Diceros bicornis minor: one gene and its partners. The protein of the gene in region 3 purifies or fractionates together with the protein of the main gene of each other region. This does not show direct contact. Links are inferred from orthologs where the notes say so. Each region holds a gene or a part of one and is shown on either strand. Other genes may lie near its edges.

Region 1 (7,309 bases), on a different chromosome or scaffold from region 3:
TTCCATCAGAAGAACTAGACCTGGCATTAATGAATTTTAGTCTTATAAAATTATGCTGAACAGAAAAATGGGAGAATCAGACATTTTAACTTGGTCATTATGAAAACATCCCTTTTAAAATTATCAACTCTATCTCTGAAAATGAACTTTATTTTTTCAAGTAAATGCCACTCTACTGAGGCTCAAATTCAAAGGCCATTCTATACTTCAAACACTTCTCAACATTCTAAAATAATTATAAATAACTATTTTTCTAAAAGAGAAACAAATTTAGGTTTCTGATTTTTGGTTCAATTTAAACACATCTTGAAAATGATACATGGCACCATACTGATCATTTCTATTTTTATATACTGTATCTACTATTTTCCACATTTAGGCTAGATTCAAGGCTCTACATAACACAGTCCCAAAACACCTTTATTTCCCACCACTGTTCTGTATCTGGCCAAAAGCAACTACTTCTGATTCTCAATATGCCACAAGTTTAATGGCCTCATTTTTTTTCATAACATTCCCATTCCTTCTGCCAAGAGTAGTCTCCCCTACTATCTCTACTCGTCAGAATCCAATCTGTCCTATAAGGCTCACCTCCATGTTTTAATTAGCAGTGGTGATAGTTACAAGGCAGTAGTGATGAGGCCAAGTGGTACAGGGGACAGGACAAGAGCTTTAGAGCCAGGGAAACTAGAGTCTAAGCCAAGGATCTGTTATTTATTGTGCCTGAGACCTTGCACAAGTTACAACTTGTTCCTCATCCCTAAAATGGGGATATCCTAATCTTGCAGGGTTGTGGTAAAGCATACTCTAGATTAACTATATTAACACTAGTTAATCTAGTCCAAAGTCTGGCACACAACAGGTGCTCAATAGTGAGTGAGTGGTAGGAGTGGTGATAGTAGTAGTAATAAACTCTGCATGTATGAAGCTTTTCTTGACCTCCTCAACCAGATAGAGTTCTTTCCTTCTCTGAACCTATTCATTATAATTTAGGTAGCTACTTTAAATACAGACCAGGGTCCCACTGTTCCTCCTGTGTCCTTCTTACCCGATTTGATACTGTAACTTTCCACCCACAGCAAATGCTCAGCTGATACCATTACCACACATTTCCCATTCTCTTCTCACCCATTATCTTTTAAACAAAATTTGTTCATATGTTTATTTAATCATTTATGCAATAAATATTCATTAAGCCACTATTATTCCAATTAGGGCTCCTTGTCAGGTTGATTTGGTTAATCATGTTGTTCGATTTTTTTTGTTTTACGTCTACTATTTTTTTTCTGCTTATTCATTGAGTTACCAAGAGACTTATAACATCCGCAACTCTGACTGTGGATTATTTCTCTTTTTGCTTCTGCTAATTTATGCTTCGTTTGCTTAAAGCTATGTAATTACTTTTAGGCTTGTTATGTTTTTATTTAATAGAATATTTTATCACTATAAAATATCTCCCCTTTTTTCCAAGTAAAACTTCTTCCTTTAAAATCTTTAGTCTAATACTAATATAGCCACAACAACTTTCTATTTACTTTTTTCCATCCTTTTACACTTAACATATGTGTGTCTATTTTAAGTATGTCTCTTTTAATCTAGTGTGTCATTTCATGTCTTTAACTGGAGTGTTTAGTCCATTTACATTTAATATAATTATTGATATTGTGCTTATGCCTACCTTTCTCTTTATCCAGGCTTTGTTCCTTTATTCCTCTTTCCTTTTTTATTAATCAAGTATTTCTGTTGTACTATTTTACATTTATTAGCTATTTACTTTCTTAAAAATTGTGGTAAAAAACACATTACATAAAATTTACATCTTAACTATTTTTAAGTGTACAGTTCAATAATGTTAAGTACATTCATACTGCTGTGAAACTCATTACCTTTTATTATCCTTAAAAACAGCATCCCTCATATTTCCAAGCATGTTTTAACATATTTCCCATCCAATGTCTACCACCCTATGCTCTTTTGTGCATACAAAGTGATATAACTGGGGCAAGACAAGTCACACTGGGTGCATCCTGGAGAATTTCAGGCATCTGTTAGACTCAACTAACCATAATCTAAGAGTTCCCACTGTTCCATTTTGCTAGCAGGAGTGACCACTAGCTCCAGATAGGAAGTGTGCCCTCACGCTGGTTTGTTCTGCCAGCTGGGCTAGATGTCCTGGGAGGGCAGGACCATGGTGGTTGAATAAAGGAGAGTCAAAATTTGTGTCTTAATAGGAAGATCTGAATCCTAAGTTTTTCTCTGCTTCTAAATATGTAACTTAAACCAGTTACTTAATCTCTCTGAATCTTAATTTCCTTTTATAAAAATGAGGATAACACACAATGAACATAAACAGGGTTGTTGTAAAGATCAATTTAGATAATATACATGAAAGCCTTTAACTTTGAAGCACTATAAAAATAGAAGGTAATCATTATTATCTGCCCCACAAAGTTTGCAATGAGGGAAAACTAGTTTCCTTTTTTGACACGTACAGGTTAATTCACAGGAGTCTAAATCAATAATAAGCATTTCTAAGTTACTGAATTAAGAATCAAGTTTATGCAAAGAATACCTCTACAAGATCCTTCCTCGGTCTCAACTTTAAAAGGGGTTCACTGAGACGGATGGAACACATTCCACCCCTCCCTTCATAGCTGCATATCCCAGCACACCTGGAAAACAACCACCACAAAAGCATGATTTACCAAATACATACAAAAGGGAAATAGAGAGGAAAGAGCAAACCCATATACATTCTTGGGCAGTTCACACTGAGAACTCTACGGCAGATGGCTTTCTTAAAAGTATACCCTCTTCCCTGGGAGATATTTGCATTTCACCCCAGTTATGGACATATGTGAACAGTAGTGGCTTCCCTTACCCTAACCAGGCTGCAACAGCTCAAAGAAGATAATCCTATTCTGCTGCTCCCAGTCTCCTCCCTACAAACTATAATCAGTTTGTGGCAGTAACAGCCAGATCTCCATTAGCACATCTCAAAATTATAATACAAGCCTATGTGAAGAAAACGTGCACTTTAAACACAATTTTATATGATATCTTAATCTGTTTTATTTTAGGTTGTTTTGTATCACTTCAAAAACAAGCACGGTAATATACAACCGCATCTTAAACTTGTTAACTCCGTTCCTGTACAGGACTCGATTATTTCAAATCGAGATTTCTCAAATTTAGCGTGTAGGAAAGGAATCCTTTTAGAGGCATCCCCGAAGACCCCTTAGGTCCAGAAATACGGAAACGTCAAGCCCTTGCCCACTCTAACACACGAGCTCACTACTAAGCGGTGCGATCCTAATGAGCATAGAAGAGGACAACACGCCTCTGGAGGTTTCACTGCGTCCTCAGCATTCCAGACTCTGGTTGCTTCTCCTTCCTGGCTCCTAAAACACTACAGTAAATCAAATCAGAAATGTGTTAATTTATTTTCAAGTGAGGTGAGATTCAAAGAAACATCCTCTTCTCTCATTGTGTCCCCTATAAGTCAAACCGTAGCGAGGTGGGCCACACAGCTTTCTTAAAGTTGTCTGGGTGGGAAAGAGAGATAGGGTAGGAAAGGGAGAAATACACGGAGAGGAGGTGCCTGGTCCAAAACCAGACGCCCTCGTTTAACGGCCCCTGGGCCGTCGAGGCGGAGAAGAAGAGAAGCCCAGGGCCAGGGGCTGAGGAAGGGCAGCCAGCCGCCTCTTTTCCCCAACGGGCTCGGGACTCACAGGGTCATTCGCATGCTCCACTTCACCTCGACGGCCTCCAGTTGGCCCCAGAAGAACCGGTCGTTGAACTGCACAAACAGGGCCTGCAAATCCGGGGTGGGGTCCACCAACTCCCAGGACGCGTCCACCAGTGACAAGGGCTCCTGGGCTTGATCGCACTCCGAGACCTCCAAGTTCCACTCCTCCTGAAGCCGTAGTGCCAAAACCAGGTCCTCATCCATCGCTGCCAGGATCCCAGCGAGGTCCGCCGGCTCAGAAACCCAAGGGCCGGGTGGAGCTCCTGGGAGATACCGGCTCTCGGGTCAGCCCGCCGATGTCGCGAGAACTCAGGAAAACTGGCGCGAGAACGAGAACTCAGCTTGCCCCCAAGGCCGACACCAGGATTCTGGGGCTTAAAAAAAAGAAGTCAGCGTGACACCTCCTAGTGGGCTCGAAACTGGGATTCCCAGGGCTTGGGCGAGAGGAAGGTTTCACTAAGCTGGTTATCGCCTTTACGCTTCGCCGGTAACTTCAAACACCAACGCCACGCTCGGCCCATGCGCACTACCTACGTCTCTTTGCCTTTCCCTCTACTCACTTCCGCAATACTCCCCCGGCGCACGCGCTCTAGGCCAATGGCGTTCCTGCGCAGACGCATTGTCTGCGCCCGGCCCCTCGCGCAGGCGCAGTGTCTAACGCTCAGACTCGAGCGCAGGCGTACTTGTCTGTCTCCCATCTGTTCCTCAGCCCTGGAGCTCGGCGGGGTTTGGGTGGGTCTCGACAGCGGCGGCACCGTCAGCAGCGATAGTGACAGTGACTGCGTGGGGCCCGGACGGAAATGGCGATGGCGATGTCGGACAGTGGGGCGAGCCGCCTGCGGCGACAGCTGGAGTCGGGGGGCTTTGAGGCGCGGCTGTACGTGAAGCAGCTCTCGCAGCAGTCGGACGGGGACCGGGACCTGCAGGAGCACCGGCAGCGCATCCAGGCGCTGGCGGAGGAGACGGCGCAGAACCTGAAGCGCAACGTCTACCAGAACTACCGGCAGTTCATCGAGACGGCCCGCGAGATCTCCTACCTGGAGAGCGAGATGTATCAGCTCAGCCACCTGCTGACGGAGCAGAAGAGCAGCCTGGAGAGCATCCCGCTCACCCTGCTGCCAGCTGCCGCCGCCGCTGGGGCCGCCGCGGCCTCCGGAGGGGAGGAGGCAGGGGGCGGCCCGGCCGGCCGAGACCACTTCCGCGGCCAGGCTAGCTTCTTTCCCACCCCCGGGGGCGCCTCCCGCGACAGCTCCGGGTCGGGCGAGGAAGGAAAGCAGCGCACTCTCACCACTCTGCTGGAGAAGGTGGAAGGCTGCAGGCACCTGCTAGAGACGCCGGGACAGTACCTGGTGTACAACGGGGACTTGGTGGAATACGACGCGGACCACATGGCCCAAGTGCAGCGGGTGCACGGCTTTCTCATGAACGACTGTTTGCTGGTGGCCACCTGGCTGCCACAGCGGCGGGGGATGTATCGCTACGACGCTCTCTATCCTCTAGATGGTTTGGCTGTGGTCAATGTCAAGGACAACCCGCCCATGAAGGACATGTTCAAGCTGCTGATGTTTCCCGAGAGCCGTATTTTTCAGGCAGAAAATGCTAAAATTAAACGGGAGTGGCTGGAAGTGCTGGAGGAAACGAAGAGGGCCCTCGGTGAAAAGAGACGAAGGGAGCAGGAGGAGGCAGCGGCCCCTCGAGGGCCACCCCAAGTGACTTCCAAGGCCAGTAACCCATTTGAGGATGAAGACGACGACGAACCAGCTATTCCTGAGGTAGAGGAAGAGAAGGTGGACCTCTCAATGGAATGGATCCAGGAGTTGCCTGAAGACCTGGATGTTTGTATTGCCCAGAGGGACTTTGAAGGGGCCGTTGACCTGCTGGATAAATTGAACCATTACCTGGAAGATAAGCCCAGTCCACCTCCTGTAAAAGAACTAAGGGCCAAAGTGGATGAGCGTGTCCGACAGCTCACTGAGGTGTTGGTTTTTGAACTCTCCCCAGATCGTTCCCTGAGAGGTGGTCCCAAGGCTACTCGCAGGGCAGTTTCTCAACTAATCCGGCTTGGCCAGTGCACGAAGGCTTGTGAGCTCTTCTTGAGAAACAGGGCAGCAGCTGTGCACACTGCCATCCGTCAGCTTCGCATTGAAGGTGCCACTTTACTGTACATTCATAAGCTATGCCATGTCTTCTTTACCAGCCTTCTTGAGACTGCAAGGGAATTTGAGACAGATTTTTCAGGCACTGACAGCGGCTGCTACTCTGCCTTTGTGGTCTGGGCGAGATCAGCCATGGGCATGTTTGTGGATGCTTTTAGCAAGCAGGTGTTTGACAGTAAGGAGAGCCTCTCTACAGCAGCCGAGTGTGTAAAAGTGGCAAAGGAGCATTGTCAGCAACTGGGTGACATCGGACTAGACCTTACCTTCATCATCCACGCCCTTCTGGTGAAAGACATCCAAGGTGCCTTGCACAGTTACAAAGAGATCATAATTGAAGCCACTAAACATCGCAACTCGGAGGAGATGTGGAGGAGGATGAACTTGATGACTCCAGAGGCCCTGGGTAAACTCAAAGAGGAGATGAAGAGTTGTGGGGTGAGTAACTTCGAGCAGTACACAGGGGATGACTGCTGGGTGAACCTCAGTTACACAGTGGTGGCCTTTACCAAGCAGACCATGGGCTTCTTGGAAGAAGCACTGAAGCTGTATTTCCCAGAGCTGCACATGGTACTTTTGGAGAGCCTGGTGGAAATCATTTTGGTTGCTGTTCAGCATGTGGATTATAGTCTTCGGTGTGAGCAGGATCCAGAGAAGAAGGCCTTTATCAGACAGAATGCATCCTTCCTATATGAAACAGTCCTCCCTGTGGTGGAGAAAAGGTTTGAAGAAGGTGTGGGGAAACCCGCCAAGCAACTCCAGGACCTGAGGAATGCATCTAGACTTATTCGTGTGAATCCTGAAAGTACAACGTCAGTGGTCTGATGCTTGGGTCTGTTTATATGTATACGTATATGTTGCTTATATATTATTTATATTTATATTAAGTTGTATTAGCATATTCTTTATAGTCTCAAACACAGCTTAAAAATAAAAGATGCCCTCTCAGTTAGAAATGCAAAATCAAAAGGAGAAAGAAAAAGATGTTAAATTAACCCTAAATAACAATAACATTGGAATTAGTAAAATATATAATATGCTTTTCTTTTAAATCATGCTCATTCTCTAATGAATATATTATCACATTACAGCATTTCAGCTTATCCTTTGAGTCAAAACACACTTTCTCACAGTATATATTATGCAGCAGAGAAAAATAATATCTATAAATACATAGAGTTTAAGTATGTTGTGAAACGTTTCCTAGTTCACTAAAATGTTAGGTTTCTTAAAGGAGACAATGCCGTATAAAACACCCTGCTTTATATACTTCCTTAAAATGCTTAATATACTTCACCTTAAAATGTGATTGAACAATTTGGGGACAAGGAAGGAGGAGTTGAGAAAATTGGTTTTAGGGTAAATTTCAGTCAACAGAATTGCTTCTTGAGAGTAGCTAGTGTGGACT
Region 2 (7,754 bases), on a different chromosome or scaffold from region 3:
AAAAACAAAACACAAATACATTTATAAAAATCAAATGTTAAATTTATATCTTATATGTAATTTATAATTTAAATTATAAAAATGTAATAAAAATGTATATCTGTAATTCCTTGGGCAGAGGTCTTAACACCTACAGTATGTGTATTGTATTATATAGTTCTGTTTTTTTTTTTTTTGGAAAGATTCACCCTGAGCTAACATCTGTCGCCAATCTTCCTCTCTCTTTTTTTTCTCCTCCCCAAAGCCCCAGTGCATAGTTGTATACTCTAGTTGTAAGTCCCTCTAGTTCTTCTGTGTGAGCTGCCGCCACAGCATGGCTACTGACAGAGGAGCAGCGTGGTTCCGCACCTGGGAACCAAATCTGGGCCACCAAAGCGGAGCACGCCGAACTTTAACCACTAGGCCATCAGGGCTGACTCCATATAGTTCTGTTTATTCTACGATATTCTCCTTTAAGCTGGTTCAGTTTCCCTCATGAGACCAGGGCAGGGACTGGTGTTCCTAAACCTGTCACACCACTGTGCTGGCCCCTTACCACTTTGTTGAGCTCTGGGCTGTCTGGGCTGTTGTCCTGGAAATACTCCACAGCCTTCTGAATCTTGGCCATACTTCCCAGGTACTCTTCCAGCCTGCCTGTGGGGCTGGGAAGGAAAAGAGCTGTATCAGCCTGGGTGGATGGAAGATGAAGAGGAAAGACCACGGGAATGGTATTTAGAAGGGGAAGAAGAGAATTAACACAGGGGACTCCAGGCTCAAATATATTCTACCTCTCCCTTCTAAGGCCTAGGGTCGCTGGTCCAGGAGGCATTAGGAATGTGACCCTCTGGCCCTGGCTCACCCCTCCCTGATGATCTTCTCAGTGTCACTGGCCACATGGTAGTAACTGATGACATGGTCCAAGCAGGACAGAGTCTTCTCAACATTCTCCTGCAGTCGCTGCAGGTTTTCTGTCTGCTTGTGCACAGGGATGATGGAGTTCTCCAGCTTCATAAGGCGGCTCTCAAAGGACGACAGGATAGATACCTGTAGGGGGATGCACCGTGCTCTCAGGCCTCAGGGTGGCCCAGCACTGCTTCTGCTTTTTCTCTGGTTTTCTAGACAATAAGTTCCATGACAAAAGGGACAGGGTGTACCTGTTCACCATTGAGTCCCCAGCACCTACCATGTGCCTGGCACATAGGAGGTAGTCCAAGTAAATTGGTTGAAATTTGATTTGAAGGCAAGCTAAGCATTAAATTAACTCCTCCTAAGATAATCACCACAGGATGACTTCCCTTCCACGCTGTGAAGCCAAATCTCAATTTCTGTTCTCTCTGAAGCTTTCCTAGACTGAACAGGAAGTTGTTTCATACTGAGTAGCCTCGAATGCATTTCTGGTACTTTCAAAACTCTCTCTAAGGGTGAATTTCATTAAACAAGGACTTATGTTACTGCACAAAACTGGGGTCCTCCTACCCGATGCACATAAAAAAAGCCAACTATTATGGCATCAGCTTTTGGGAAAAGAAAAAAGCTTTATTGATGGATCGATCTGCAAGGAGACAAGAGGCGTACGTTCTCAGATCTTTCTCCTCCATCCAGGACTTGGGGCAAAATTTATGAGATGAAGAGCATGTGGTCTGAAGTGTGGAGATAGATGATTGGAGGTAAAGAGAAGTGAGGTAACTGATGATCTGTGCAAGCGTAGTCAAGCTTCACGGCTCTTCATAGGATGCATGTTCACAAAATGGTGGTGATAGTATGATCTGAGGGTGAGTTTTCAGCCCTTTGACATCAACAGGGTCACTTATTGGGCATTTGCGCAGGCCCAGTTGATGGGCTGGTGGTCTTAACCAGCCTGAACTGGACAAGGGGGAACTCTCAGTTCCTGAAAGACAACTCTTAATTACTCTGTTGATGAGATGGGGTCAGCTGAACTGGTCCTAGTAGGCCCGTGGTTACACAGGACTTTACGGTTGTGTTACTAAATACATATCCAAGTTTGTATCTACTCAATTTGTGCTTTTCCAGTCTCCTCTAGGAATAAGGAAGGAAACTCATATTTATTGCGTACCTACTGTATACCAGGTACCATGTAAGATGCATTCCCATGCATTCGTTTCTATGACCTTCATAGCTACATTGTCTCTATTTTAGCAGATGAGTTAACTGAGGCTCCGAGTCATCTGCCAGGAGCCACAGTAAGTGGAGAGGCGAGGACCAGATCCCAGGTCTGTCTCGTTCTACCCTTAAAGCCCTCTGGGGTGAAGGCTTAGTCTTCTCTGCCCTTAGTAATCTCAGAAGTGCTAACCCTGCTGTCCTACCGTCATTTGAATTGATGACACATGACCAGTAGCCAGCCCACCTAAGTCAGTCTCCCTGAATATCTGCGGAAGGAGAGAAGGAAGAATGGAGAACTTAGAAAGCAGAAAGTCCAGGCCAGCAGGGGCTGCAGCATCCTCAGTGAAGGGGCGGACAAAGGGGAAGGGAGCTGGGTAAGAGAGATGCCACACTGTTGCTAGAGAAACCCACACTTTACCACCACCACTCCCCAGGCCAGAACCCCCAGGCCTGATGTATCAGAACCACCGGATCGCAGGGCTCTCTTCCAGGGTATGGAGGCCTGTCTGCCCCTCCCACCTGAGGGGTTACTCACCATGTTCTTTGTGAGCTGGTCACTCTTCTCCAGGCTGTCTCGGATGAAGGACAGTGTCTCCTCCTCCTGGGGGAAGCGGACGGGAGGACATCACCAGAAGCCTGAGGCTAAAGGAGATCACCGCGTCCGGGCCCCACAGCCTCGCCCCCAACCCCATCTCCTCGCAGGGAGCGCCCCCTCCCACCACCGCCTCCTCCCTGAGTAGATGCCCGAGGCCCAGATCTCGGCTCTTCCCTCTCCTCTTCTTCCGCCTCCCCAGCCCCAGTCCCACCTGCTTCAGTTTGTCCTCTATTTCTCGGCGACGGGCGGACGCCTCCTGCGGGGGGATCATCGCTTCGACCCTGCGGCTCCCACTCCCCAGTACCTTGTCTTAGTGTGCCCTCTGGGCTCCCGTCCCTGTCACACCCACTTCCGCCCTTGGCCCCGCCCCGGGCGCGCCCGTGGTGCCATGTTGGGAGTGGCAGGAGGAAGCGCGCCTGAGCGGACCTCAGTAACGGGCCTGGGCAGGTGGCCATCTTGGGTGTGGCTGGGAAGTGAGACCAGGTTTCAGCTCCGTGCGGGTTCCTTGCGTCATGAGAGAAGACTGGAGCTGTGTTATATTCCGCAGCTGGCAGGACTGTTACAGCTCACTTGCTGTCTTCGTTGGAAGGCTGACTCTTTTGATAAAGGTCGCTGATGAATTCGTTTCTCCAGATGTCATTCTGGGTCTAAGCACAGAGGTCGCGGTCCTCACAGAGCGTGTCATACAGTAGGCGCCTAATGTGTGACCATTTAATGAGCCAGGGGCTTGTGTAGGCTTTTCCCCTTCCGGCCCTACGTTACGCGAGAGCTTATGGAGCGGGCCCTGTGTGCAAGCCCTGGGCTGGAGGCAAGGGACAGAGCGGTCTCCTGTGGCCCCGGTGGCCTCCATAACCATAATCCTGACTTGTGTGGGGCCCAGCCAAGCTCCTGGGGCTGGCGGAGTTCTGGGAGCATCCATCCCTGTATGGTTTTATTTGTTGGGGTGAGAACCAGGTGGCTTCTGCTGGGAACTTACCTAGATCTGGAAACGGTGCAAGGGGAAGGCCGGAAGATCCTCGACCTGTCGGAAGGATTGGGGCCCAGCTGGTGTTGTCCCCTAGTTAAGGAGAGATTGAGGCCTGCCTGCACTTATTCAGACACAGAGGGAGGATTTCTTGCAAGGGCTTTGGGGAAATCAGAGAGGCTAGGAGGGTTGGCAGGGTCCCTTCTCCAGAGCTCTCAAACATCCTAACTCCTCTGCCCCGAGTCTCCTCTAACCACAGCTCCAGGGGAGGGGATGGGAGATGCCCCTGGATCAGGCTCCTGCAGAGCTGGATGTTCTGGATTCACTACAGGACCCAGCTCCTGCAAAACCTAGTGTTAGTCTTTCCTCCATCCCCTCCCTGCCCACCCTGCCTCTGGCCCCAGCCCCAGTCCTTGGAGAAGTAAATGGCTGCGCTGCTTTCTTCAGTCCCTCTGTGGATCCCACATCCAGGAACAGGAAGGTAGACAATGAGGCCTGTGCTGGTGGGTGAAAAGGTTTGGGGGCACCAAGGCCCCCCCAGGACCCAGCTCCTCAAAGAGAAGGAAGAAATGGGACAGAGAGCCTGGAGAGGGGATTGGGCAGCTTTCTGCTGGGGCAGGAGGACAATTTCAGATCTAGTGATCTGATTTCAGTGGCTGTGAACGTGGTGATGAAGGAAATATCCAGGAGTCAGAGCTCTGCTGCATATGGAGGAGATAAAAAAACAGAATCATTGTGTAAGGATATCTAGGACGATTTCGCTGAGGTGGTCCTTGTGGAATCCTAAGTGAAGGGAAAAGTTTGAACTGTTAGATGCCACAGTACAGAAGGAGTGGCCTAGAGGGCTACGGTGGAAAGGGTTTTGGACTCAGATGGACCAGCCTGGAGAGCCTCATTCAGCACTTAACCTCTCTGAACAGCACCTAGCCCATAATAGATGCTCAAGAAAAATATGGATAACATCTTGCTCTATAGGTCTCAGGTAGGGAATTCTCTATGATTGTGAACAAACACATACTTTGTACAATATCATTGCATTTTTGTAAATAAACTTTATATGTGTGTGCTTTATTTTGTATTTCCTCAAATTTCCTTTACCATCTAAGTGTAATTTGGTCACCAGCTACCATGTACTGAGAGCTTTTTGTTTGCCCATCTCTGTTACAAACACCAACCTCGTGTTATCTTGTCTAATCCTCACAATAAACCTACGAGTCCAGGCACAGCTGTCGTCTCCCTTCTGCAGATGAGGAAGCTCATGTTCAGAGAGGTCAGCTGCACTAAGTCAACACAGCTGGCCAGGGAGAGGGTACAGCTGAGGCTGTTCTCTGCCTCCTATGCTGGGTAGCTCAGGTGTTTTGTTCGTTGTTATGCAAAGCCGCCAATCTGATTTTCCAGAAAATCCATTGTGAAAAGCAGGTCATGTTTATGGAAATCATATCTAGTAAAAAGTAGACAAAACGAAAAGATGAGTTTAAATTATTCTCAACCCAATATCGGACATGTGTTGACAAGTAGACATCAATTCAGTAAAAGCTGTAATTCCCCAGCTATACTCAGCACAAGTTGCTTTAGCAAAAGGAGCAAGTGGTGTTTCAATTGCAGCCTCAGAAATCGTGGCTTTCCTTCGCAAACTTGTGCAGAACACAAAGGTACCAATCATAGCCAAGCCCCCCACTGCCCACTCGCAGAGATTCTCTTTCCAGAAGGAGGGACGGGGGGGGGGGGGGAAGCGCCCCCTCCCCCAACAGCATGCTCTTTAGTTTAGTAACTTCCTAATTCCAGACTTCGTGCTCTTTCTGAGGAATCAGATGTATAATTCCTCCAAATTAACGTTTCCTGGCCCTGCATCAACGCTGAAAATGCGTATGGTATGACATCACAAAAACAGATCACAATAGTGTATGTTCCCTGGGATTCCAGCCATTCGAAATATGATAGATACATTGCAAAAAAGACTTCAGGAAAAATACTAAAATGGTAAGTAGAGTAAATGGATGATTCTGTTTTTCTAGTTTCTAAAGATGGTGAGTTTAAATTACCTTTTTATTAAAACACTTCTAGGAAAAGTAATTTTCCTTTTTTCTGTAATGATTAAAAATAGTATATTTTCCTCATTTAGAAACCATCAGCCAGGGGCCGGCCCCGTGGCTTAGCGGTTAAGTGTGCGCGCTCCGCTACTGGCGGCCCGGGTTCGGATCCCGGGCGCGCACCGACGCACCGCTTCTCCGGCCATGCTGAGGCCACGTCCCACATACAGCAACGAGAAGGATGTGCAACTATGACATACATACAACTACCTACGGGGGCTTTGGGGGGAAAAGAAAGGAGGAGGATTGGCAATAGATGTTAGCTCACAGCCGGTCTTCCTCAGCAAAAAAGAGAAGGATTAGCACGGATGTTAGCTCAGGGCTGATCTTCCTCATACACAAAAAAACAAAAAACCACCAGCCAGCAACAGTGCCATCTGGCATAGTAGTCAGGAGGGTTTTTTTTTTTTCCCCCTTAAATCCTCTTAATATAAAATGAGAGAAAGGACCAGGGTGTCCAGAGCCCAGGGGTGGGCAACCTTTCTCATAAGGAAGCCAGAGCAAAGGACATGTTTAGTGTGCTTTGAGCCACTTGTGGGCTCAAATGTGCAATTTGGTTTTAAAACTATTTTTCTGGGCTGGCCCGGTGGCGCAAGCAGTTAAGGTTTGTCTGTTCAGATCCCGGGCGCGCACTGACGCACCGCCTGGCAAGCCATGCTGTGGTGGCTTCCCATATAAAGTGGAGGAAGATGGGCATGGATGTTAGCCCAGGGCCAGTCTTCCTCAGCAAAAAACAAGAGGAGGATTGGCAGATGTTAGCTCAGGGCCGATCTTCCTCAAAAAAAAAAAAAAGAAAGAAAGAAAAAAACTACTATTTTTCAAATTAAATATAATACCTATTCAAGGTTAAAACTTCAAACTGTAAAGAAAGTGTAAAGTGAAAAACAAAAGGTGCCTTCCTTCTCCTTGACCCCCAAGCACCTCTGTCCCAGAAGTAACCACAGTTGTGACTTTCCAGATGCATTCATACAAGTCCAAGCATATTATACATAGAACAAATCTTAAAAAAAAAACACCACAAATGCTATCACATTAAACATACTATTCCTGTAGCCTGCTTGTTCACGTAACAGTATATCTTGATCATCTTTCTATATTAGTGTGTAGAGGCATACTCCATTCTTTCCATAGTACTTCATTGAATACATATAACATAGTGAAGCAGTCCTCTATTGATGGGCATTTGGGTTGTTTCCAGGTTTTTTACTATTGCAGACTCTGCTCCCTATACATACATGGCCAATACATGACCATTTTTTGATTAAGCAATTCCACTATACGTTCTGAGAGTGGAATTGCTAAATCAAAACATATATCCCTTTAAATTTTTGTAGATATGTACAAATCGCCATCTAAAATGGCTGAACTAGTCTATACTTCCAATACCAATGTATAAATATGCGTATTTCCCCACACCTTCACCTACACTAAGTATTATCAAACTCTAACATTTTTGCCAATTTGATAGATGAAATATGGCATTTCATGTTTAATCTTGCACTAAATGAAAAGGAAAAAACTACAACTTATCAAAATTTGTGTGATACAGTGAAAACAGTGCTTAGAGGGAATAATAACATTGAATGGATACATTAGAAAAGAAAGATCTAAAATCAGTAATCTAAGGGGCGGCCCCGTGGCTTAGCGGTTAAGTGCGCGAGCTCCGCTGCTGGCAGCCCGGGTTCAGATCTCGGCCATGCTGAGGCCGCATCCCACATACAGCAGCTGGAAGGATGTGCAGCTATGATGTACAACTATCTACTGGGGCTTTGGGGGGAAAGATAAATAAATAAAAAATAAAATAAAATAAAATCAGTAATCTAAGCTTTCACCTTAGGAAACTAGAAAAAGGAAAAGCAAATTAAATCCAAAATAAGCAGAAGAAAAGAAACAATAAAAATTCGAGCAGAAATCAATGAAATTGGAGACAGGAAATTACCAGAGAAAAATCAAGGAAATGAGAGTTGGTTCTTAAATACATCAATAAAATTGATCTAGTCAGCCT
Region 3 (7,017 bases):
TACCATGCAGTATGAAACACTCTAGGTGCTCATTTAATGTAAAAAATATATATACAAAGAACAGGGAACTGTGTCTGTCATAGTGTTTCCTAAGACTGAAACCAAAGGAATTTCATGCTTCATAGTTATTTTTTCTAAGTCAAAATAAATTTGATGCAGAATTGAAAACACAAAGCTGTATAACAATATTTAATTGACTCACCAGCTACTACTGTAATTTTAGGCTTAATGATTTTATTTGCTGCCAGCTTCTGTATATACTGCACTAACATTTGCTAACTGGCTTCAGAATACGGACCAGAAATTTAAGAAAAAAGAAAGAAAACACCATCAGTAATTTTTATATTAGTGAAAGGTTTTCTTTCCTCTTTTGAGTATTTTTGTTTCAGGGATACAATATTATTTGTCATTATTTTGATCCAGGAAAGATCTGTGTGTTCTCAAGAGCCATTCATACCAGCTTAATGGCAGGATCACCTAACTTGAGAAATGGTGTGTCACGCAGACCCAAAAGCGAGACAAGAAAAGGGTTTGGTTTCACAGTGAAGTGGGGTACCACTGCCAGGATACAGAAAACAATTTCCTTTCAACCTCTGCTGCCAGGTCTCTGACTCACGTTTCCTGTGTGTTTTAGAATGGATGACCCTAGGACAGTTGAGTTATTGCATGCTGGAGCGACTTTGACATGTCTTCTGATGTAAAGGAGAGAAAAATGAAGTCATGCTAAGTCCCACAACTCAAAGCATCTGTACAAAATATCATCTTCTTTTTCTCAGGATGTATTTCTCTAACAGGTGTGCAATTCAGCACATAAAGATATTTGAGTTGTAATAAGTATAGGCTGTTTTTGGTCTATAATAATGACTATTTAGGCTGGATTCCCCCAGAAGCTGACCCTGAGATATGGTTTCAAGGGCTAGTATCTAACTTGGGAGGTGATACCAGGAAACACCAGGAAGGGAGTGGGTATGCCAGGTGGGAAAGGGAAGGAAGCCAATAAAAGATGTGCTGTGAAGGCATTCCCGAGGGAGCTCTGAAAATACCCTGGATAACATGCCTCCGAACTACCCTGGGAACGGCAGCCCAATAGTTATACAACTATCTTTGGTTGAAGCCTACTTTTGGGCCGATGAACTTGCCAGTACTTCCAGCTTCCCCTGCATTGAGAAAGAAAGCCCTGAGGCACCGAGGGGCAGGTGTTCCCAGAAAGAAGCCTTCTGAGAGCAGAGGGCACAGCAGAGGAATATGGGTAGGCTCTGATGGCCTCTGCCACTGTCCATCCCTCGCATGCTGTGTTGTGTTCACGCTGTCCTGTCACTGACTCCTCACACTGATGTCCCATCACACTCACATCTGGAGCACTGATAGGTCGAGCTATGGGCTCCTGCTGCCGTTGGTCCTGAGGCCATTGTGATTCTCATAATCTTCTTCCTTTATCACCTATTCTAGATTCCCCTCACCCTTAACTAGCACTTCCGCTGGCCCAGGTTGCTTGCTTGAAGTGACCCAGACCTTCGTCCCTGTAGGATCTGAGCCTCTGGTTGCCATGCCCTTGTCAGGCCAGGGTTGCTGCATTGCGCATTTGCTGATATCACCAGGCATAGAAAAGATGCCCAGTGAGTGCCTTGAGGTCCAGAAATAATCCTCCCTGCTCCTATATCCTCCTGATCGTAAAGGTCAATTTTTTTGTTTCCTGTATGAGGATCCCAAACGAGGAGAGGGCTTTAGATATAGTGGAATCTTGTGTCCCCTGGCAAAGCATCCTCTCCTGCCATAGGAGCCAGGACTCTATTTGGACGCAGCACTGTACGCTGGTATTAGGTTCAAAATATATACTACATCCCATAGCACAGCAGCTCAATGCTGCAAAATGTTACCCCTAAGCTGGAGCCTTAGCTGTGCCTTTAAGAGGCCATTCTAATATTCTATCAGGGTGTCAGCTTCTGGGTGTGTGATGTATGTAGAACCATTGGCTCTTGTGGTATTGTCCCCTTTGTCATACCTCTTTCACTCTTAAAGGGGTCCCTGGTCCCAGGTGATACTATGGGAAATTCCATGATGATAAATCCGACCCTGTGTGAGCAATTGGATAGTGATGCTTGCCAGGGCCCTGCAGGCAGGGAAGACAAACCCAAACCCAAGATATGTAACTGGGTCTGAGGAAATCACCTTGCCACCAAGGAGCTGCCTGGTCTCCTCGAGGGAAGGTATCATACCTCTAGCTGCACATTGGCCTCTGCAGCTGGAGGGGGAACACACTGTCTAGATCTACCTTGTTAAGAGGGGTCCGTGCAGCTCCATCCCTGCCACCATGGCTACTCCATTCATAGGCCCATTGTACAAACCCTGGGCTGGCCCAGGACAGAGGCTGGTCAAATCATTCTGGTGCCCCTCTGCTGTGGATGCTGTCTGGTAGGCATTCATGTGAGACACACAGATTGGCCAAACACAAAGTTTGTGTAAGGTGTAAGTGTGAATTCCTGGGCTAAGAGATGGCAAGACCCCCCACCATGGTTGTGCCTCTGCTCCACAGCTACCCTCCTCTCCATTCAGCTGTAGCAGGTTACTCCAACAGGTCTCCTACCTTTGGGAATTTCTAGAAGGGAAGCAGGTAGCACACTCTTGATCACATACAGTCCCAGTGGTAGGCCAATTCTCCCAAGAACGGGACCCCCCATGCTCACCTCCACTCTGATGGCAGCAAGCACAGGCTCCTGCGTGTCTCAGGTCAGCAAGCACTAACCTGGCTTAGAGCCAACTGGGTGAGTCTCTTCTAAGCTTCGAAGAGGTGTCCGACCCCGGTTGTTTGGGGCTCTCTTTAAAATGTGGAGTGACTTTAGGGTTACTATATACTGTTGAAACAAGGACACTTGACCATGAAAGGGACACTCAATAATTAAGCCAGGATAACAGACAAAAACCAGGGTTATCTCACGCAGAGTGGGACATGTGGTCACCCTAGTTATCTGCCCCCTTTTCCAGTCTAAGTGGCCAATTCCAGGACAGCCAGAAAAATCCCTCTAAATATCCTGTCACTCAGCTTAAACTCCATGGTTCTCCATAATGTCATTTCTTTGCATAGACCCTCAAGTCCTTTGCTCCCTGCTCCTGCCTATCTCCAACCTAGGTTACAACTAATTTTCTGCTAACTCTCTATCTGCACTAGAGCAGCCAAAACATACACATGCTGACTGGTCCCATTTTAAACTTAGGACTACACATCCCAAGGGGACTTTCAGCTTTGCCTGGAAATCCTACCACATTTTCTTAGTAATTTTCTTCACAATATTCAGGATAAAGATTTCACCCTTTCTCCTTCCTCCTCACACCTCCCTTGCCCTGCATCCTCTGTTTTCATGGATGATCTTGCTGCTGCTTTCGCTAATAAAAGAGAAGTAACCAGAAGAGTATTTTCTCATCACTTTCCCCTGTCCCCACCTTTGTCCCCTTAGTGCAGACCACCATCATTTCTTGACAAGACTGCTGCAGTCGCTCCCTCAGTGCCATCTCTTTTCCTCTTGCCATGCCACGGTTTATCCTCAGCCCAGGGAGATCCTGACAGGAAGTGACTGCCTTTATTCGCCTGTGCGTCTCTAGCGCCCTGCACGGCGCCCAGCCGGTGGAGGTGCTCACTAAGTTTGCCGAACTGAAACGATCACACTCAGGGTTTCCAGGCTGTAGACTGGCATTCTCCTCCGCAACGTCCATGGTCCTGTGGCTTTGTGTGTCACCTAGCCTCCCAGGGCCTCGTTGGAGCCAGTGTCCTGACCCGCTGCAGCGTCCTGGCTCAGGGCAGGGCCCACCACAAAAGCAACGAGTGCCATCCTCCGGCGTCTCTGGCGGGACCCGACGTCGCGGGGCCGGAGGGTGCACACGGCACGCCCCCACCCCAGTGCGGAGCCCGCCCCGCCCCTCCGCGGAGGCTCGGCCATCGAGGACTCGGCGCTCGACTGCGCGGCGGATCGACGCCCTCGGCGCTCGCGGGGCGGAAGTGCGGCGCGGCGGTGGGGCGGCCGGCCGGGAGCGCTGGCGAGAGGGAGGCCTGGCGGCGCGGCCGGAGCGCGGCCAGCGGGCGGCAGGTACGTGTCGGAGCCCCGCGTACCGGCGCAGGGCCAGTCCGGGAGCGCGGGCCGGCAGGGCGGCGGGCGGCCTGCCGCGCGGGCGGTCGGAGGAGGCCCCGGCCCCGGCCCCGGCCTCTGCCGCTACCGGGCCGCCTGTGGGGAAGGGGCGGTCGCCACCCGCGCCGGCGGCACCCCCGGGTCTCCGCGTCCTGGCCGGGCGTTGCCCCGACGCTGACCCTCGGGGGTGGGCGTGCTGGCCTCCCCGGCCCCTCGCGCCCTGTGCGGCGGTCCCGTGTAAGGCTGAGGGTGGGGTCGTGAACAGCGGCGTGAGGCGGTTTCGCCTCGGTTGGGAGCTGTACCTGTCAGGTTCCTGACAGGAGCTGGTGCCTGTCACCGTTCTCAGCGTCTGCGTCCCCTGATTGACGTAATGCCCGAGAGAGTGGATGCTGACGTAGTGTCCCGTTTTACTGTTGGGGACACGGGAGCTCAGAGTGGTCAAGTGCTAGCCTGAGGTTGTATACTCCTCGGTGTTTGAGCTGCCCCTGGGACCATGCAGCGAGGCTCCAGAGCCTGCACACCCAGCCACTGTGTTCTCTCTCCTCTACGCCCGCTGGTGCTGAACTTGATACCCCAAGATTTTGCAAATAGACACTTTGTTAATTCCAAGAAACAGTTTTTGAAAGAGCTTGTCTTTAAATGGGAATAATCTACTTCTAATCGCTAAAGGTCAATCATACTAATAACTATGAGAAAATTTGTTTCTTTTTTTATGAATCTGAATAAACTTACAAGGAAACCGTTGAAAAATATTTTAAGAATCAGCCACACCTTAATTAAATCGTTTGGGGACACTGTATTGAAAAGCTAGTTCTAACTGAGGTTATGTGCATCCGTCTCCTAATGCATAATAATATTTTGTTTATAAATGTTAGTACATATATTCTGGCCAGACTTTGTGTAACTGACTCTAATGTCAAAGGAACTGAAAGCCAAAAGCTTCCCAGGGATCATCTGTGTGTTGAAAGTTGTTGACTCAAAGGGTGGTAATAGAAAGAGGATAATGTGTGCTTAGTACTCAAATGTTCTCTTCTGTTGGATTAAGTAGAAACTTAATAATTTTAAGCAGAGAAGCAGAGGATCCCCCAGAGTAAGTTGGAACAACTCTTGGAAGTTTCAGAAAGTATATATTTTTTCTTGTCAAGTGTTTAATATCCTGTACTGACTATCATTTTGAACTATATTACCTTTCTAAAAGATGGTTATTAACCTGCTGAGTTAAATTTTCATTCATTCCACAAATATTTGAGAGCCTGCTGTGTATGAATCTATGAGAAATGAAATTGGTACCCAAAAATTTTTGGCAAGACAGTCTTCTAATAAAGGACTTTGACAATTTTTGGTGTCAGGCACGGGCAGGATCAGGCCATATGGGAAATGTGGGTATGCAGTTCATCTCTCAATTTCTTTTTCACTCCTTCTCCAGTTTAGTCATCTTTGTCAGCCAGGAACCTAGTATAGCACCCGACACATAGTAGGAGCTTATTGAATGGATGAGTTTTAGGTCAGTAATGAGTAGAGAGAATTTTGAAATTGACTGGAGGAGAAATAACATTGATCACTCTGCAAAGCAGTAGTCTACAATGTTGATTGTTCTCAGACCCTGGGGAATATGTTCATGGCTCCCCTGGAGTGCCTGGTAAAATAGCATGGTAGTAGTGTTCCATTATAATCACATGATTCAGTGTGTTTATGTTAATTTAAAAGAATTATTATTGATACAAACACAAAGTAATTGTAGAGAAATTATGACTCTTGAAGCTGTGGACACACCCATAGGCATCCTTGGACTTCAGTTTGAAATTATGGATTCAAAAGGTATTTTGGTTTAGGAGTCAAAGCAAACATTTAGTGGTCCATGTGCTGCCACCCACCTGCTTCGTAGTGTGGGCTGTTACTTAGCTTCTTTGGGGTTCAGTTTCCTTTTTCCTGTAGTCAGAGAATACATAAAACTAGATTATCTCAAACAGTTCTTCTGGCTTTGAAATTTTCCAACTCAGTGAATCCTGTAACCACTTAGCACAGGGATAACCCTGTGTTGTCTTCAGGGCTATAGCTATTGCTGGTATTTACATATCTGTCAAAAGACTAAGCTCTTGCCAGACAGGGCTTAGTCTCAGTCATTTTTGTGTCTGCCAATTTTAGCATATGCCTGACACACACATTAGAAATAAAATAGTATTAGCCTGGATTCAGAAGGGGTGTTTTTGCCCTCTAGATTAAAGATTAAAGAATTGCTGAGAACTAAACTGTAGTATTGAGTGTAAGTACAGCAGGAGTTCAGAGAAGGGAAGGATCTGTTGGGGTTCGAGTTGTTGGGAAGGCTTCATGGAGGTCAGACCTTGATGGAGAGGATGTGGTCCTTTGGAGGGAGGGCATGTTAACATCTGGCGGCATACCAGGAACAAAGGCCACATTTTGGATTATGAAATGCCTTGAAGGTCAGGCACAGGAGTTTGGACTGATTTACTAGGCTTTTTTTTTTTTTTTCTGGAAAATTGTATTAGGCTTGCTCAAAAGCTTCATGAGTATTCTTTAACTTAATGTTGTTGGTAGCATTTAAGACTGGGGTGGATCATACAGTTGGCTTTATTTTTGGTTTTGGCTTTAGTAATTCCTTGTACTTACTATTTCCCACTTAAAATAAATCTTGGTGCCAATAATGGAAAGAACAGTGGACACTGAAATTTGGGAAGCCTGGATTTTAGTTAATTAGAATGTAGTTGCACCAGGTGGATCCAGGCAGGCCTTCACGTGGCGCCTGGCACAGTTAGCCTTCGGTGCTCCTTGGGCAGCGCCGAAGGACTGCTCTCCTTGCTTCCTGCTAGCTGTGCTGCTTTTGGCAAGGTTGGCACCTAGTTTCATCTGTAAGCTTTGATGAATTTTTAAAGTCCTTTTC

Evidence for each region. Proteins that work in one complex are often made in the same cells at the same time.
Region 1: the proteins of EXOC2 (region 3) and EXOC8 purify together in Homo sapiens (affinity purification with mass spectrometry; 7 studies listed by BioGRID and IntAct, counting the BioPlex papers as one, with this or other methods). This does not show direct contact. The link is inferred for Diceros bicornis minor from reciprocal best matches to the Homo sapiens genes EXOC2 and EXOC8.
Region 2: the proteins of EXOC2 (region 3) and EXOC7 fractionate together in Homo sapiens (co-fractionation; 4 studies listed by BioGRID, with this or other methods). This does not show direct contact. The link is inferred for Diceros bicornis minor from reciprocal best matches to the Homo sapiens genes EXOC2 and EXOC7.

The regions. Positions count from the first base shown.
Region 1 is NC_080745.1:24,862,812-24,870,120, forward strand, and holds the start of EXOC8 (exocyst complex component 8), read left to right. Parts: upstream 1-4,290; 5' UTR 4,291-4,548; coding exon 4,549-6,726; 3' UTR 6,727-7,309. Other genes in the region: DNA-dependent metalloprotease SPRTN, read right to left, coding at 2,573-2,672, 3,732-3,952. UniProt on the Homo sapiens protein: Component of the exocyst complex involved in the docking of exocytic vesicles with fusion sites on the plasma membrane.
Region 2 is NC_080757.1:56,465,822-56,473,575, forward strand, and holds the start of EXOC7 (exocyst complex component 7), read right to left. Parts: upstream 3,020-7,754; 5' UTR 2,967-3,019; coding exon 2,907-2,966; intron 2,702-2,906; coding exon 2,636-2,701; intron 1,024-2,635; coding exon 839-1,023; intron 642-838; coding exon 536-641; intron 1-535. UniProt on the Homo sapiens protein: Component of the exocyst complex involved in the docking of exocytic vesicles with fusion sites on the plasma membrane.
Region 3 is NC_080753.1:65,647,672-65,654,688, forward strand, and holds the start of EXOC2 (exocyst complex component 2), read left to right. Parts: upstream 1-4,001; 5' UTR 4,002-4,079; intron 4,080-7,017. UniProt on the Homo sapiens protein: Component of the exocyst complex involved in the docking of exocytic vesicles with fusion sites on the plasma membrane.